Linked DNA regions of Pelodiscus sinensis. The protein of the gene in region 2 purifies or fractionates together with the protein of the main gene of each other region. This does not show direct contact. Links are inferred from orthologs where the notes say so. Each region holds a gene or a part of one and is shown on either strand. Other genes may lie near its edges. The genes, in order: PTPRE, GRB2 and SYK.

Region 1 (4,295 bases), on a different chromosome or scaffold from region 2:
AAAAGCCTCATAAAATCACAGAATACATCAAAAACCTTCTTATCCCCTCTTTTCAAGCAGAAACTTATAAATGAGTCCAAATAAAAGCCCCATACCTACTCAAATCTAAACTTACGAGGAAGTTGAAAAGTGTATGTCAGGTTTGATACTCAAGCCTGTCACTACTGAAAAATATACAATGAAAGTGATGGGTTACCTAAACCTATTTAACAGGAGCATTGGGAGGCTTAATCACTGAATGTTTATTAGATGTTCTGAGATCCTTGAATGAAAAATACTATGTTGTTTGCTCCCTGTGTACCTTAGGAACTCGGCTAGCAGTTCCCAGAATTGTGACCTTCCCTCCCCCCCGCATCCCCCTTCTGTTCTGAAATTTGATTTGTCCTTTTCATATGTGTTCATTTTTTTAATTGTATCCTTTGGTATATATGGTTGTGACTATTTTCTTCCACTATTTGATCTGAGGAAGTGGGTCTGACCCACAAAAGCTCATAATCTAATAAACCATCTTGTTAGTCTTTAAAGTGCTACATAGTCCTGTATTTTGTTTCAGTTCCCAGAATTGTATATCTGGAGAAGAACTAATATTTGATATAAGCAGACAAAGTAGTATAAGCAATTGCTTAGGATCCTGGAGCAGCTCAAGAGGGTGCTTTTTACTATGTGTTGTGTGAAGAGCGGGGGGGAAAGGCGCAAATATTCCTAAGGCTTTTACTGGGCTAATACCACCTCCTAGTAGGAGCATTCCCAGTAATGACTCTAGATACCACAGTATCAGTTGCATTAGACTACATCATAGACAGATTGTGGAATTTGCTGCCCCATTGGTCCTGTGATTGTTCATCTTCAGGACGGACATGCTGCAAAGATTGTTGATTCATTTTTTTTTCCCTTGAGGGAGAGGCATCAAGGCCAGCCTTGGGGTGGGCCACCCATCTGTGCAACTGCAGTCTGTGGTCGGGGCACTGTGTGCACGCTGCCAGCTGACAGAGGATCACTGCAACTTGTAGAGGTGATACATGGAGAAGGGAGATTTCTCCTTGCTTCATCCCAGCAGAGCAATGGAAGAGGCAAGGGCTAAGAATGATCCTTCTGTTCTCCCCCCCGTGTGGAGGAAGGGAGGCGAAGGAGTGAAGAGTAACACCAACTATTCCAGTCACTTTTCTAAACTGGGCTGTGTTGTGAGATGAGCATCAGGACTGCTGTTCTGCTGCCCTCCCCTTACACAGCCTCGGGGTGCCAAAATACACGGGTGCCATTTTCCCTAAAGTCAGCCCTGGGAGGCACGGTGGAAGTTCAGGAAGCTCTTGATTTTCAACTGTCAGTACTTCAGTGGTATTTACTTCATTACCGCTTTCAACAATACACACACTAACACTATCACCAGCACAGAGACAAAAGATCAGACAGCATCTTACAGAGAATGATCTCTTCAGCCATCACTCCTATGCATCTAGTTTTCATTTTAAACAGGAAGAATAAAGTTAATCTCATTCAGTTAAAACTGACAGTGTGTTTGGTAAGTGCTTATCAAAGTACCTGTACTGAATGGAGAAGGGAATAAAAGATGGATTTTTTTTAAGTGGCACCTAATTTATGCTAAACCTTGTATTAACCCCCATACTACACATATCTTCACAAAAGCAAGACTGCTTCAAAAACAGATACTGCACCACAAAGCTGCCTTCCCTACCCATCACATCCAGGCCTCCAAGTTGGTGGGTGCAAAGTGCTTTTTAAAGCATTGCACCGCTGTAAGTGTGAAGTCAAATACTCAATATTTTACCTCTAAAACGGAGGGTGAGACCCTGGCTTCACTGAGGTCCAGGAGAGTTTCTCCGTGGATGTCAGCGGAGCCAGGATTTCACCCTGAGGAGGGGAGGGTGTTTAAACCCCCTTGGCTGGAGCAGAAATGTCTGAAAGAAAAGGACATTTATTCCCAAGGGGTGTTAGGGCCCCATTCCCGCTCTGGCCTCGGAACTGCAGCGGAGCAGTAATACCGATTCCTAAGGGAAACAACCCCAGCAAGCGCGGGCTGAGGAGAGGTGAGCAGGGGGATTTCAGCAGAGCCTGCCGAAGGCTGAAGCAGGCCAGCAGCGATAACCCGGCCGCCCCCTCGCGCCTGCCACCCCACTCAAGTTGGCTGCCGAGTTCCTCCAGCCTGCAGCCAGGTGTGTCTCGCTGCCGCTCCCTGCCTGTCTCACCTGTCCCAGCCTCGCGGCGCTGCTGACCGCACTGGCTCCTCCGCGGCACGCTTGGCCCGGGGACGCGCCATGCCCCGCCCCGGGGCAGCTGCAGAGAGCAAGCCGGCAGGTAGAGCAGCCCAGCCCCTCCCACGGCGCAGAGACCGCCTGTCTGCGCACAGCGGCTCCCTCCCCGCCCGTGGCCTGCGCTGCCCTGGCCCGGGCATGTGGCTCCAGCTGGAGAATGCACCGGGGCTGGCGCTGCTGGGGGGGTCGCAGCAGCCCATGCCCGGCTGGACAGGGGCGCCTCGCCCGGCCCCGCTGCCTGGCTCCCAGCGCCGCTTACCTCAGGAGCACTCGCCCGGCAAAGGCAGCGGGCGCCCGGCCGCCCCGGTGCAGCAGGCGGGGGACGCCCTGGCATTCACCCTGCCTGCCGGAACAGCAAATCGCCGTCGCCGCCTCTGCTGCCGCGCGCTCCGAAGCGGCGTCAGCCGGGAGCCGCCTGCTGCTCAGCCGAGGGATCGCAGCCCGGGGCACCGCCAGTCAGCTGGGCAATCCGGGAGAGGCTGTGCGGGGGCCAGCACCTGCGGGAAGCGGGAGGGAGCAGCAGGGTGGCCTGGCAAATGGGGCAGAGACTGGAGGGAGGACAGCGCCGGGGGGTAACCCAAGAGCTGGCATGTGAGCGGGACGAGGTGATTGTATAGTCGGAATGAGGGAAAAGGAGGGTCGGATTTTAAAGCTGGCCTCCCCCACGTGAGGGCAGAGTGTTGACTGCAATAACTGCAGTTCATACACCACAATCTAAATGTCTACACCAGTAGGCAGTTAGATTCAGGTTTTCTAAAAAAAATTGTTCTAGTTGTCTCCTAAGCCACCTCGATTTGCTGTGCAGACCTAGCCTTAGAGCTGTCTGCATTAACCAGCCAGGCAGGTTTAGGCCTGATCCTACATTCACTTGCAATAGGGTTGCCACTTCTGAGTTAAAATAATAATAATACTTAATTAATTAATAATAAAAAGAACCAGATACTCAGGATGATTGGTGGCCCATAAAAGTAGATACCTGGCAGTGTGCAGGAACCTCTTTGTGCATTTCCGGAGACAACTATCTCAAAAAAAAGCAATCCTGAACAGGTGACAGCCCTTGCCATTGTGCCATCTGTAAACCAAGCCTTGAAATATGGGCAGGTTTTTATGTCACAGTGACAAGAGGTAGGGAGGGAGAGCTCTTCAGTTGAAGGGGAAAGGACACATTTATCTGGCAGGTTTATTTTTTATGGCTTTGAGTTTGGGTTCTTAGGGATAACCATGCGTCAGAACACCTCCCTACTCCAGCTCTGCAGTTCTCAAGACACAGCCCAAATTAGCACCCAGCTGCAGCCCAGCTGTGTGTTAAAGACCACCATGCTGCATGGCAGAGTTCTAGATCCCATTGGTCCGGCTGCCCTGCATGACATGGTTCGTATTGCCTGTCCTTATGTGGCAGAGTCAGAATTGGGCTGTACACTGGCCCTCCAGGGACCAAGGTCTAGGGCTACCACCTGGCTGGCCTCCAGGGTCCCAGGCTACCATACAGAGGGGCTCCAGGGTCTAGGGCAGCTAGCCAGCTGGCCCCACACAACACAAGGATCTGGAGTCAGGGCTTCTACGCAACTGCCACTTGCCCCATGAGGTGCAGTCCAAGGTTCCTGCCCCTGGTGCCCTGCTTTGTGGAGGGATGGGGTTTTTTTGGAGGGGGAGCATGCTATAGCCTACAGAAATAAATAGGTTAAAAACCATTGCTTCAGATGCATAGTTGATATGGGGCAAAATAGGTATGAGGCAGCCCTGAATGGCCGGACACTGATATCATCATGATTTACAGAAATGGCTACAAGGAAAACAGAGTGCTGGCTATAAAAAAGTGATGAAAGACAGTAAGCTACTATCCGGTATAGCCAATATTTTTATCTGCTGAACTGCCACAGTTGTCCAATAAGATTAGGAATCAGTGATATAGAGAATATGATGGAAGCCTGTAAATAGACTTTTGAACCCTTGCAGTAGAAGTGCCAAAGAGCTTATATACCGTGGAGGGAGAATGAAGAGGAAAAAAAGAAAAAGAAATCTAGA
Region 2 (4,295 bases):
TAAACCACACAGCTGCCTGGGACAGAGTCCTGGCCAGGTGGGTGTGCGGGCCAGATCCAGCCCCTGGGCCATATTTTGCTCAGCCCTGCCATAGAGGCTGTCCAGTTTGGCCAAAAAGTAAGATCAAAGTAAGTTATTAAATAAACATGAATAGAAAAGGGATAACTAGCTCTAATTCACTAAGAAACTGGTCATATGCAAATTCTTACTCTAAACAACTGTTCTTATTTCAGGCATCAGCTTCAAAACACAGATGATCTTTTACTCTGATTTTGGTCTCCAGACTTCTTTAAAGTTCTTTTTTCCTCTTAGGGTGTGCCAGGCAGTCTCCAAAGCCAGCTGAAGACAAGGGGGATTGCTTCCCGTTGCTTAGTATTCCCAGCCCTGAGGTAAAGTCTATGTTTTACATCCCTGATTCCATGGGAAAATACCAGGTTCAAAATGGATTTCAGTACCAGGTGGTATAGTCACCTGTCTTCCTAGGATGAACCATGACTTGGACTTACAGGATAAGCAAGACTATTTACAAATTTATCACCAAGCCATTAGGCTTCCAGGGCACTAGTAAGGGCTCTCATTAACACAATTAAAACTATAAACAGACTCATACTTCATAACTTCACACACAAGAATGATACATGCACCAAAATAGGATATACACATCCAGCAGATTGTAACATTAAAATTGATGTTACAAAAGGTATTTTGTTTAAAGGATCTTTGAGTTATACAGTTTCACAAGTTAATTTTCATGAAGCATGCCACACATAAAGCTCAGATTTCTGCCACAATCTCACAAACACAATCATGATCTAGTAAGAGTGTCTGAATAAACTGCAATACAGGTCCTCATTTTCCTAGTTTAGACAAAAGAAATCCTTATATATTAGGGATGTAATAGTGTAGTCGACTAACTGATAAGCAAAAGCTAATAGGTTAATGATATAGACTACACGCATTCCCTCTCCCCTGCTGCCAGTAAATTTTCTAGCAGGCTGGCCAGCAGCCCAGCTCAGTCCTGGCTTATAGCAGGTCTGGGACCTACCCCTGCTGCAGCTCTGCATTTAAAATGTATTAGGAGCCAGGCAGGCAAGGCAGCCCAGCTCAGTTCCAGCTCGCACTGGTTGTGCTCAAGAATGCTCATATGACCATCTACATATTTTGTTAGTCTCTAAGGTGCTGCAGGACTTTTTAAATTTTTTTAAATTGAATTGGTTATCATCCCAACTAAAATGTTTAAGGAACTGGTTTTCTATGACACTGTATACTAAATTTCAGCCAGTGAAAAATCATGGAGTAGTCCTATAGCACTTTAGACACTAACAACAAATTTATTTTATGTATATGTATAAGCAGCTTTCGTGGGCAAATCCCACTTCCTCAGATAAGCAGAAAACTCATAATTTATGGCAAAAATAGGAAGTTTGCAACAGAATCCATATATTTCTTGCATCAATGAAGTAGTTAATGTGATTCTTTTGCACAAATGGAATTTAAGTTTGCCTTTAAAGGGGCCTTTTCATCACTCCTTGAACAGGCTACTATTTCTTAGCCCCAACTCCGAAAAAAATTAAAGGTTTGTAATTGTTTGCAGGTTAATAGTCCCAGTGAAGAATATTCACATTCACAAAGTTATTTATGTGCTTAAAATCTTTGTGGGATTGGGTTTTTAAAGAACATGGTTTTTAATCCTCAGCCATCTATGTCCAGGTTATTTTGGAGAATAAAGATATGGATTTCAACTTTTTAAAGCTAAACCGCTAATGGCTCAATTGCTTAGAAGAAAAAGTATCCATCTTGTTTTATCCATAACAAACATGGTGATATTAACCATAGAATTAAAAAAAAAACCTTATATGAATACAAACTAGACTTTAGTTATTCTGAAAGCAGCATAGTTTAGAATCTTTATACAAAACACGCACTATAATCCGTTACCAAATCCCCATTTTCTGTTTTTGTTGCATACATTCTTCATTTGTTCTTTCTAGATTCTTCTTCAGTTTTAGGCATATATATTTTTTTAAAAAGCAAATATAAATTTATGCTGGACTCCTACTCTTCAATAAATTGAGAAACTTACACACAAAACCCATCTAATCTATCCCAGGCATCCACTCACACCTTTACAATTCCATTAAATACTCAGTGTTACAGATTTACCGCTGAAAACTAACACCACAGAAGAAGAAGAAGAAAATCAGTATCAATATTTAGCAGCGTGATGGCAAAAAGATGACCCAATTTTTCTTCCATGCAAATCTTTCTGGCAGGGGGCAAAGGGATGAAACACTAAGTTGTGGATTACTATCAAAGGGTGCATCTCTAGAAAAAAAATAATCCAGTTAATAGTACTTCTCAGCTACTGGTCTATGCTCTAGCTCTCTGCCATTAAAAACAAGCGGGCTGGAAGATGCTGTCGAAGAGCAGCCCAAGGGGTCAGAAGGGCTGTGGAGGAGACACGGGGGAGGAAATGGGATAGTGTGTGGGTGGGTGGGGGGTATTTCCAGAGATGGTGGGGCCCGAGTGACTCGGGAGAAGAGGGCTCGCTAAGCCTCCGCGGCTCTTACCTTGAGGATATCCCCCCGTTTGAAGCTCAGCTCGTCGTCCGCGGTGGCTTTGAAATCGTACTTGGCGATGGCTTCCATGCTGGGGCTGCTCCGCGAACAGCGGCGCGGGGGGTGGCTGGGAAGGGAGCTCTCCCTCCGGCTCCGTCTACCCCACTCACGGGCGGCCCTAGGGGAGGTGGAGGAAGAGACCGACCATCAGGGGAAGTGTGGCACGGACGGATGGCAGGGGCCGCGCCCTGCTCCTCTCCCTCCTCCCGAGCCAGAACCGGCCGCCGCTTCCGCTTTCCGCCGCTTCCTCCTCAAGCCGGGGCTCCGCCCGGAAGCAGCCAGAGAGGAGTGACATGGAAAGCGGCCAATAGCAGCTAGGACTGCAGCGCACAGGGCAACGCGCAGGCGCACCCCATCCAAAGAGCTGGGTGCTCCTGCGCGTGCTTTCTCGGCCCCCGGCCTCATTGCACTAGGCCGCAGCGCGCTCTCCCCTTGGGGACTCCATATTCGCGCTGTGGGGACACACAGAAAGCACCCACACTCCTAGCCCCCCCATGAACTCAGGGCAGGACCAAGCCCCATCTAGACTATCCCTGACAGGGGTGGGTCTAACCTGCTCTGAAATAGCTCCACAGCCTCCCTAGGCAATTTATCCCAGCGCTTAACCACCCCGACAGGAAGTTTTCCCTAGTGTCGGACTAAACCTCCCATTGTTTCTGGGCCTATCCTCGTGGGCTAAGGAGCAGGATTTTTCTCCCTCCTCCTTGTAACACCCTTTTATGTACTTGAAAACTACTATCATGGCCCCTCTTCTCTAGACTAAACAAATCCCAGTCTTCCTCATAGCTCATGCTTCCTAGACTTTCTGTTGCTCTTCTTTGGACTTTCTCCAAGTTGTCCACATCTTTCCTGAAAGGTGGCGCCCAGAACTGGACACAATGCTCCAGTTGAGGCCTAATCAGTGTAGCATAGAGTGGAAACATTACTTCTTGTGTCTTCTTTACAACACTACTGCTAATACATCCCAGAATTTTTTATTTTTTTTTGCAAGAGTGTTCGAAACACTGTCAACTCACTTAGCTTGAGGTATACCATGGGGGAGGAAACCGTGCCTTCATGATCTTACCCACTTGTGATATCAAGTCCCACCTTCCACCCCCAAGACAGTGTATGCATGCGCACACACCTTTTCATCCTTCAAGCATCTTAATAAGAACAGAACTGTCGCTGCTCAGATAAGTGGGAGAGGGAAGGACACACTCTCAGGAGGGAAGCTAGGGAGAAACTTTAGAATTGAAAAAATTATATAGCCTAAATGTTTTTTATTTCCTTCTATTTTTTAAGTGAGACGATATATGGGATTACATTCAAGGGCATAATTCTCCTATCACAGGACAGAATCAAAGCAAATTAGCCTAGTCCACCCTAGAAAAAGAGGGCCATTTAGAAGTGTCATAACCCTCTCCCCTGAGCAAGATTGTACTCCTAAGCAATATCTTCTATACCAGCAGAAGTTTCTAGTGTAGACCTGACCTAAGATATTTCGATACACCAACCCATCAAAAAGCAAATCAAATGAACAGACATCCATTAAAATGTGCACACTTTTTTCTTTGTCTGTGGCCCATTTCCAAATACGCCAACAGCCTGCTTCAATAGAGAAATAAAATCCCCTTTGACTGCTCACCCCTTGCTACGCAATATAACTGACTACAGCCTATAATTGATGGGAATCTC
Region 3 (4,295 bases), on a different chromosome or scaffold from region 2:
CAGCCCCTCTTGAGATGGGGGAGCCTAGGCCCCTAAATCCCAGCCAGTTGCCTAGGCTGCTTTCTCCATGAAACCAGCCAGAAACCTAACTAACTCACTTTCAACCCTGCCCACAGCCAGGGCTCCACTCCCCTTCTTCCCATTGTTCCGCTCCCTGGGAGATAACTGGTCAGATGGGTTCGAAGCCCCCTTTCATAATGACTCATTCCCTGCCCTGCTGGGCCGTGCTGCAGCCAGCAGCCAGTGGAGGTCACTCACAACCCACTGCCCAGCATAACAACCAGCAAGGTACCCCTCACTACGTCACAGCTACATCAATTGTGTATCTTATTTCGAAATAGGGAGGAACTGCACAGAACTTTTTTTCAAAATAGAGCACTCTTTCTCTGACTTCCCTTATTCCTCATACAAAGAGGGTTACAGGAGTCAGAGTAAGAAGTCCTCCACCTTGACAGTATTTTGACACTTTCAAAATAACTTCTTGCTGTGTATATGCGGACTAAGTTATTTCGGAATAATGCTAGTTATCTTGAAATAGCGTTGCAGTGTAGATGTACCCTGAGAGGAGATATGATAGAGGTCTATAAAATCATGACTGGTGTTGAGAAAGTAAATAAAAGTTATTTACTTGTTCCCATAATACAAGAACTAGGGATCAAGTGAAATTAATAGGTAGCAGGTTTACAAGAAACAAAAGGAAGTATTTCTTTATAGAGCACAGTTCTGTGGAACTCCTTGCCAGAGGATGTTGGGAAGACTAGGACTTTAACAGGGTTCACAAAAGCATGGAAGATAGGTCCATCAATGGCTATTAGCCAGGATGGTTAGGAATAGTGTCAGAAACTTTTTTCTGACAGGCCTCTGTCAGAAACTGAGAATGGGCATCAGGAGTTCGATCACATGGTAATTACCTGTTCCATTCATTCCCCATGGGGCACCTGCCATTGGCTACTGTTGAAAAACAGGATACTGGGCTAGATGGACCTTTGGTTTGACTCAGTATGGCTGTTCTTATGTTAGTAGTCTTCAAACATATTAAGGGCTGTTATGGAAAGGCTGGTTAACAACTATTCTCCATGTCCACTGAAGGTAAGATGAGGCAATGAGCTGGATGTGCAGAATGAGAGAGTAAGGTTGGCTATTAGGAAACACTTTCTAAATATAGGGCTAGATACCCACATCCCTAGTGTAACCATACACTAGAACAGGTTCTCTAAGGAGGAGGTGGAATCCCTCTGGGAAGTTTTAAAGAACAGGTTAGAGGAAGAGGATGTGTCAGGGAGAGGCTAGGTTTACTTGGCCCTGCCTCAGCCAAGGTAGCTGGACTTGTTAACCTCTCCAAGTCTCTTCCAGCCCAATAGATTGTTTTCAATTCTAGGAAACCCAGTGGAGGTTGCCTGTAAGGCTTTGGAGCGGACAGGCAAGCGGAAAGGGTCGCTCTAATGCAGCCAGCTTAGGGGCAAGGCGAGGCGCGGAGGCGAGCCAGGGAGGTGTGGAAGTGCAGGGAGTGTTTAGGAGGGCCGGGTTAGAAGCGGCAGCCAGGAAAGGCAGAAGAGGAGCTGGGCAGAGCCGAGCTGGCGCATCCTGGCGCGGGAAGCCCGAGGCCGCTCCGCCCGTGTCCCAGCTGTTAGGCAAATAACGCGGGCCGGGGAGCAGCTGCCCGATGAGGAAGTGTGTGAGCTGAGCCAGGCTGGGAGGAAGTAGCCGGGGCGGCCGCCGCAGAAAATGAGGAAGCGAGGCTGTCACTCCCTCTGAACGCGAGGCTGGGAGGCAGCGCCCCGGAGCGTCTCCTGCCCAGAGCCGCGACCCCCGCGGTAAATCCGCAGCGGCGGCTGCCTCCGCCCTACCCCCTCCCTTTGCGCTGCTCCGGGGCTGGGGGCGTCCCCCGGGGAACCCTCTCTGCAGAGGCGAGGACCCCCGGGTGGCTCAGCCGGGAAGGCTTCCCGCGGCGGCTCCCCGTCCGCCTCGCCTAGGTAAGCGCCGCTGCCTGCTCGGGCAGGTGAGGGAGCCGCGGGCGGGATGCGCGCTCCGGAGTCCTGCGGGCACCGCGGGGTGTGGGTGTAAGGCGGGGGGAGCTTCGCGTCTAGACTGGGCTGCGCGCGTGGGTAACACACCAGGGCAACCCTCCTGCGGGCACGCGGGGGATGCGCCGCCCCCAGCACGGACCCCTCTGCTTGCCCCCGCGGCGCGGCGCGGGGAGGGTGTTTCGCGCCCTGCCAGGCACGCTGGGTTGCATCCAGTAACAGAACACTTAATTGAGCGGCCCCACATTGCAAAATTCACACACAGGCTCACCAAGTTCGGAGGGGTTCGAATCTGCAGCTTCTCTTTGGGCCCACCTGTAAGATCACATTTAAATTGCTTTCCTGGGTAAAGTTTCCTCAATTAGGTTTCTTTGTTTCATCCCAAGCTTACTTTTCATGTATAAATTGAAGAACAAACAAACAATGTATCATTTACCTAAATAATAAGAGGTAAAACACTGACCATGCCATGGCAAATTCATGTGAATCAGCTACTGATGCTTTTAAAAATATTGAATACATTTGTAAGGAAAAAAATTAGCCCCGAAAAGCAACAGAAGAAAGCAATTCCACAAAGCAACTTAATATGTAAACAAATAAAATATATCAGTTTGTGAAGGCAAACACAAAACTCTTAAGTTATAATTGTCTTTCAAGTCAGCATGAACCAGTAAATGAGCATATCTGGATGCATGACTATGAAACTGGTTTGTTCTGTAAACAAAACAATGTTGTTCATAATTTTCATGAGATGTTATTACCGGGACACTAGGTACAGTATTTTCGTTCAGAGTTCTGAAGCCTGACAATTTTTATCAAATGTCTTTTTTTTTTCTAATAAAAAAGCTGTCACCACTATTTATTTCAATTTTACAATAGTGAAACTCCATTGACTTCAACAGAGTGAATGATATAAAAAATGAGAGTATAGCAAGTGATGTCTCAGGCCAATTTTGGGGCAAAGCCAGCATTCCTTTCTCGGGCACAAATACCTTTGATTTCAGTGGTGTTGGATCAAGCCCAGAATCAAATTTCTTAATTTGGCTTAATTTACAAGGTAGTTTTGGAAAGCATTTCCCTATTATGATTAATTTCCATAGTTCAACAAACCATTTACATTCTCATAATTTTGGTTGGTATCTGTTATTTTGGGCCTTCCCCTGCAAGCCCCCTCCCCGCGTACAAAATATTTGCTTTTTCTGTACCTTTGGAATCAAATGTTCAGTCTGATTCAAATGCATTGTCCTGGCACAGACCTGATAAGAATGTCAGGGCCATAAACAGTTAGCCTGAGAGCATTTGGAGTGGGTACTTTTACAGGAACTATGACGCTTTCCTTTCTCAGCCATTTGTTAAGCTTAAGACGGATAAAAGCAGAAATAAGGAAGCTTGAGACGGGAGTGTGTTTTTATTTTGTGACTTTCTGGGGGAAGGGAGAAAGGTTAAGAGAAGGGTTTCATAGATAAAACAACTCAAAATAAATATTTGAAACCATTTTAGGAAGATCAGAATGAGTAGTTTAATGACTAATATTTATTCTGATTTTCATATTTAGTTGGAGGAATAATTAAAATCCACAGTTGTATTTTATAAAGCTTTCAGGTTTTGTTTCTATTAAATAATAATAAAACACTGTAAAATCAAAGATATAAATTTTAGTCAGCTACATTTCTACTTCCAAGTAAGCATGATTGTATTGATGTCAATGAGAGCAGAATTTGACCTATAGAGTGGGGGGGGGGGGAGGGAGTTATTTTGGAAACAGTTAATGGATGTCTTTTTTAAAGTAGTAGGAGCCAAAAATAATATGTTAATACAATTATATGAATGTTGTTTTCAATGTTTTTAACTTTAATGACTACACAATAATGGCATTAATTAATTTGATTCCTTTCTTTTGCACTTCCTATTTAAGTGCCTGCTATTGCTTCCACTAATCATGTCAATGGTAAAACTACTGTTGAAGTTAGAGGATGCAAGTTTTAATTTTTTAAGTCAACTTACATCTTTCTCTTTCATTCCAAATACTGATATGATATACTGTATTGAGACCAATTTTCACAATGGTGTTCATGTTGTATGAGTCTGATATTATTTGACAGTGTTATTTATGTTAATTTTGATTTTGTAAGTCTACCTAATGAGTTGCTCTTCAAAACCTACTAAAGTTATTAGAAAGACTTACACTAATGCCACTGGACTTTGGATCAGGCCCTAGAGGCAAAGGAGCACAGGGAGTGACTAAGCCAAATTCTTCCTCCATTGACACGT

The links.
Region 1: the proteins of GRB2 (region 2) and PTPRE purify together in Homo sapiens (affinity purification with mass spectrometry; 5 studies listed by BioGRID and IntAct, with this or other methods). This does not show direct contact. The link is inferred for Pelodiscus sinensis from reciprocal best matches to the Homo sapiens genes GRB2 and PTPRE.
Region 3: the proteins of GRB2 (region 2) and SYK purify together in Homo sapiens (affinity purification with western blotting; 3 studies listed by BioGRID, with this or other methods). This does not show direct contact. The link is inferred for Pelodiscus sinensis from reciprocal best matches to the Homo sapiens genes GRB2 and SYK.

What each region holds. Positions count from the first base shown.
Region 1 is NC_134718.1:51,491,168-51,495,462, forward strand, and holds the start of PTPRE (receptor-type tyrosine-protein phosphatase epsilon), read right to left. Parts: upstream 2,669-4,295; 5' UTR 2,605-2,668; coding exon 2,530-2,604; intron 2,319-2,529; exon of another isoform or gene 2,205-2,318; intron 1-2,204. UniProt on the Homo sapiens protein: Isoform 1 plays a critical role in signaling transduction pathways and phosphoprotein network topology in red blood cells. May play a role in osteoclast formation and function.
Region 2 is NC_134730.1:12,217,044-12,221,338, reverse strand, and holds the start of GRB2 (growth factor receptor-bound protein 2), read right to left. Parts: upstream 2,884-4,295; 5' UTR 2,649-2,883; coding exon 2,571-2,648; intron 1-2,570. UniProt on the Homo sapiens protein: Non-enzymatic adapter protein that plays a pivotal role in precisely regulated signaling cascades from cell surface receptors to cellular responses, including signaling transduction and gene expression.
Region 3 is NC_134716.1:48,172,983-48,177,277, forward strand, and holds the start of SYK (tyrosine-protein kinase SYK), read left to right. Parts: upstream 1-1,550; 5' UTR 1,551-1,973; intron 1,974-4,295. UniProt on the Homo sapiens protein: Non-receptor tyrosine kinase which mediates signal transduction downstream of a variety of transmembrane receptors including classical immunoreceptors like the B-cell receptor (BCR).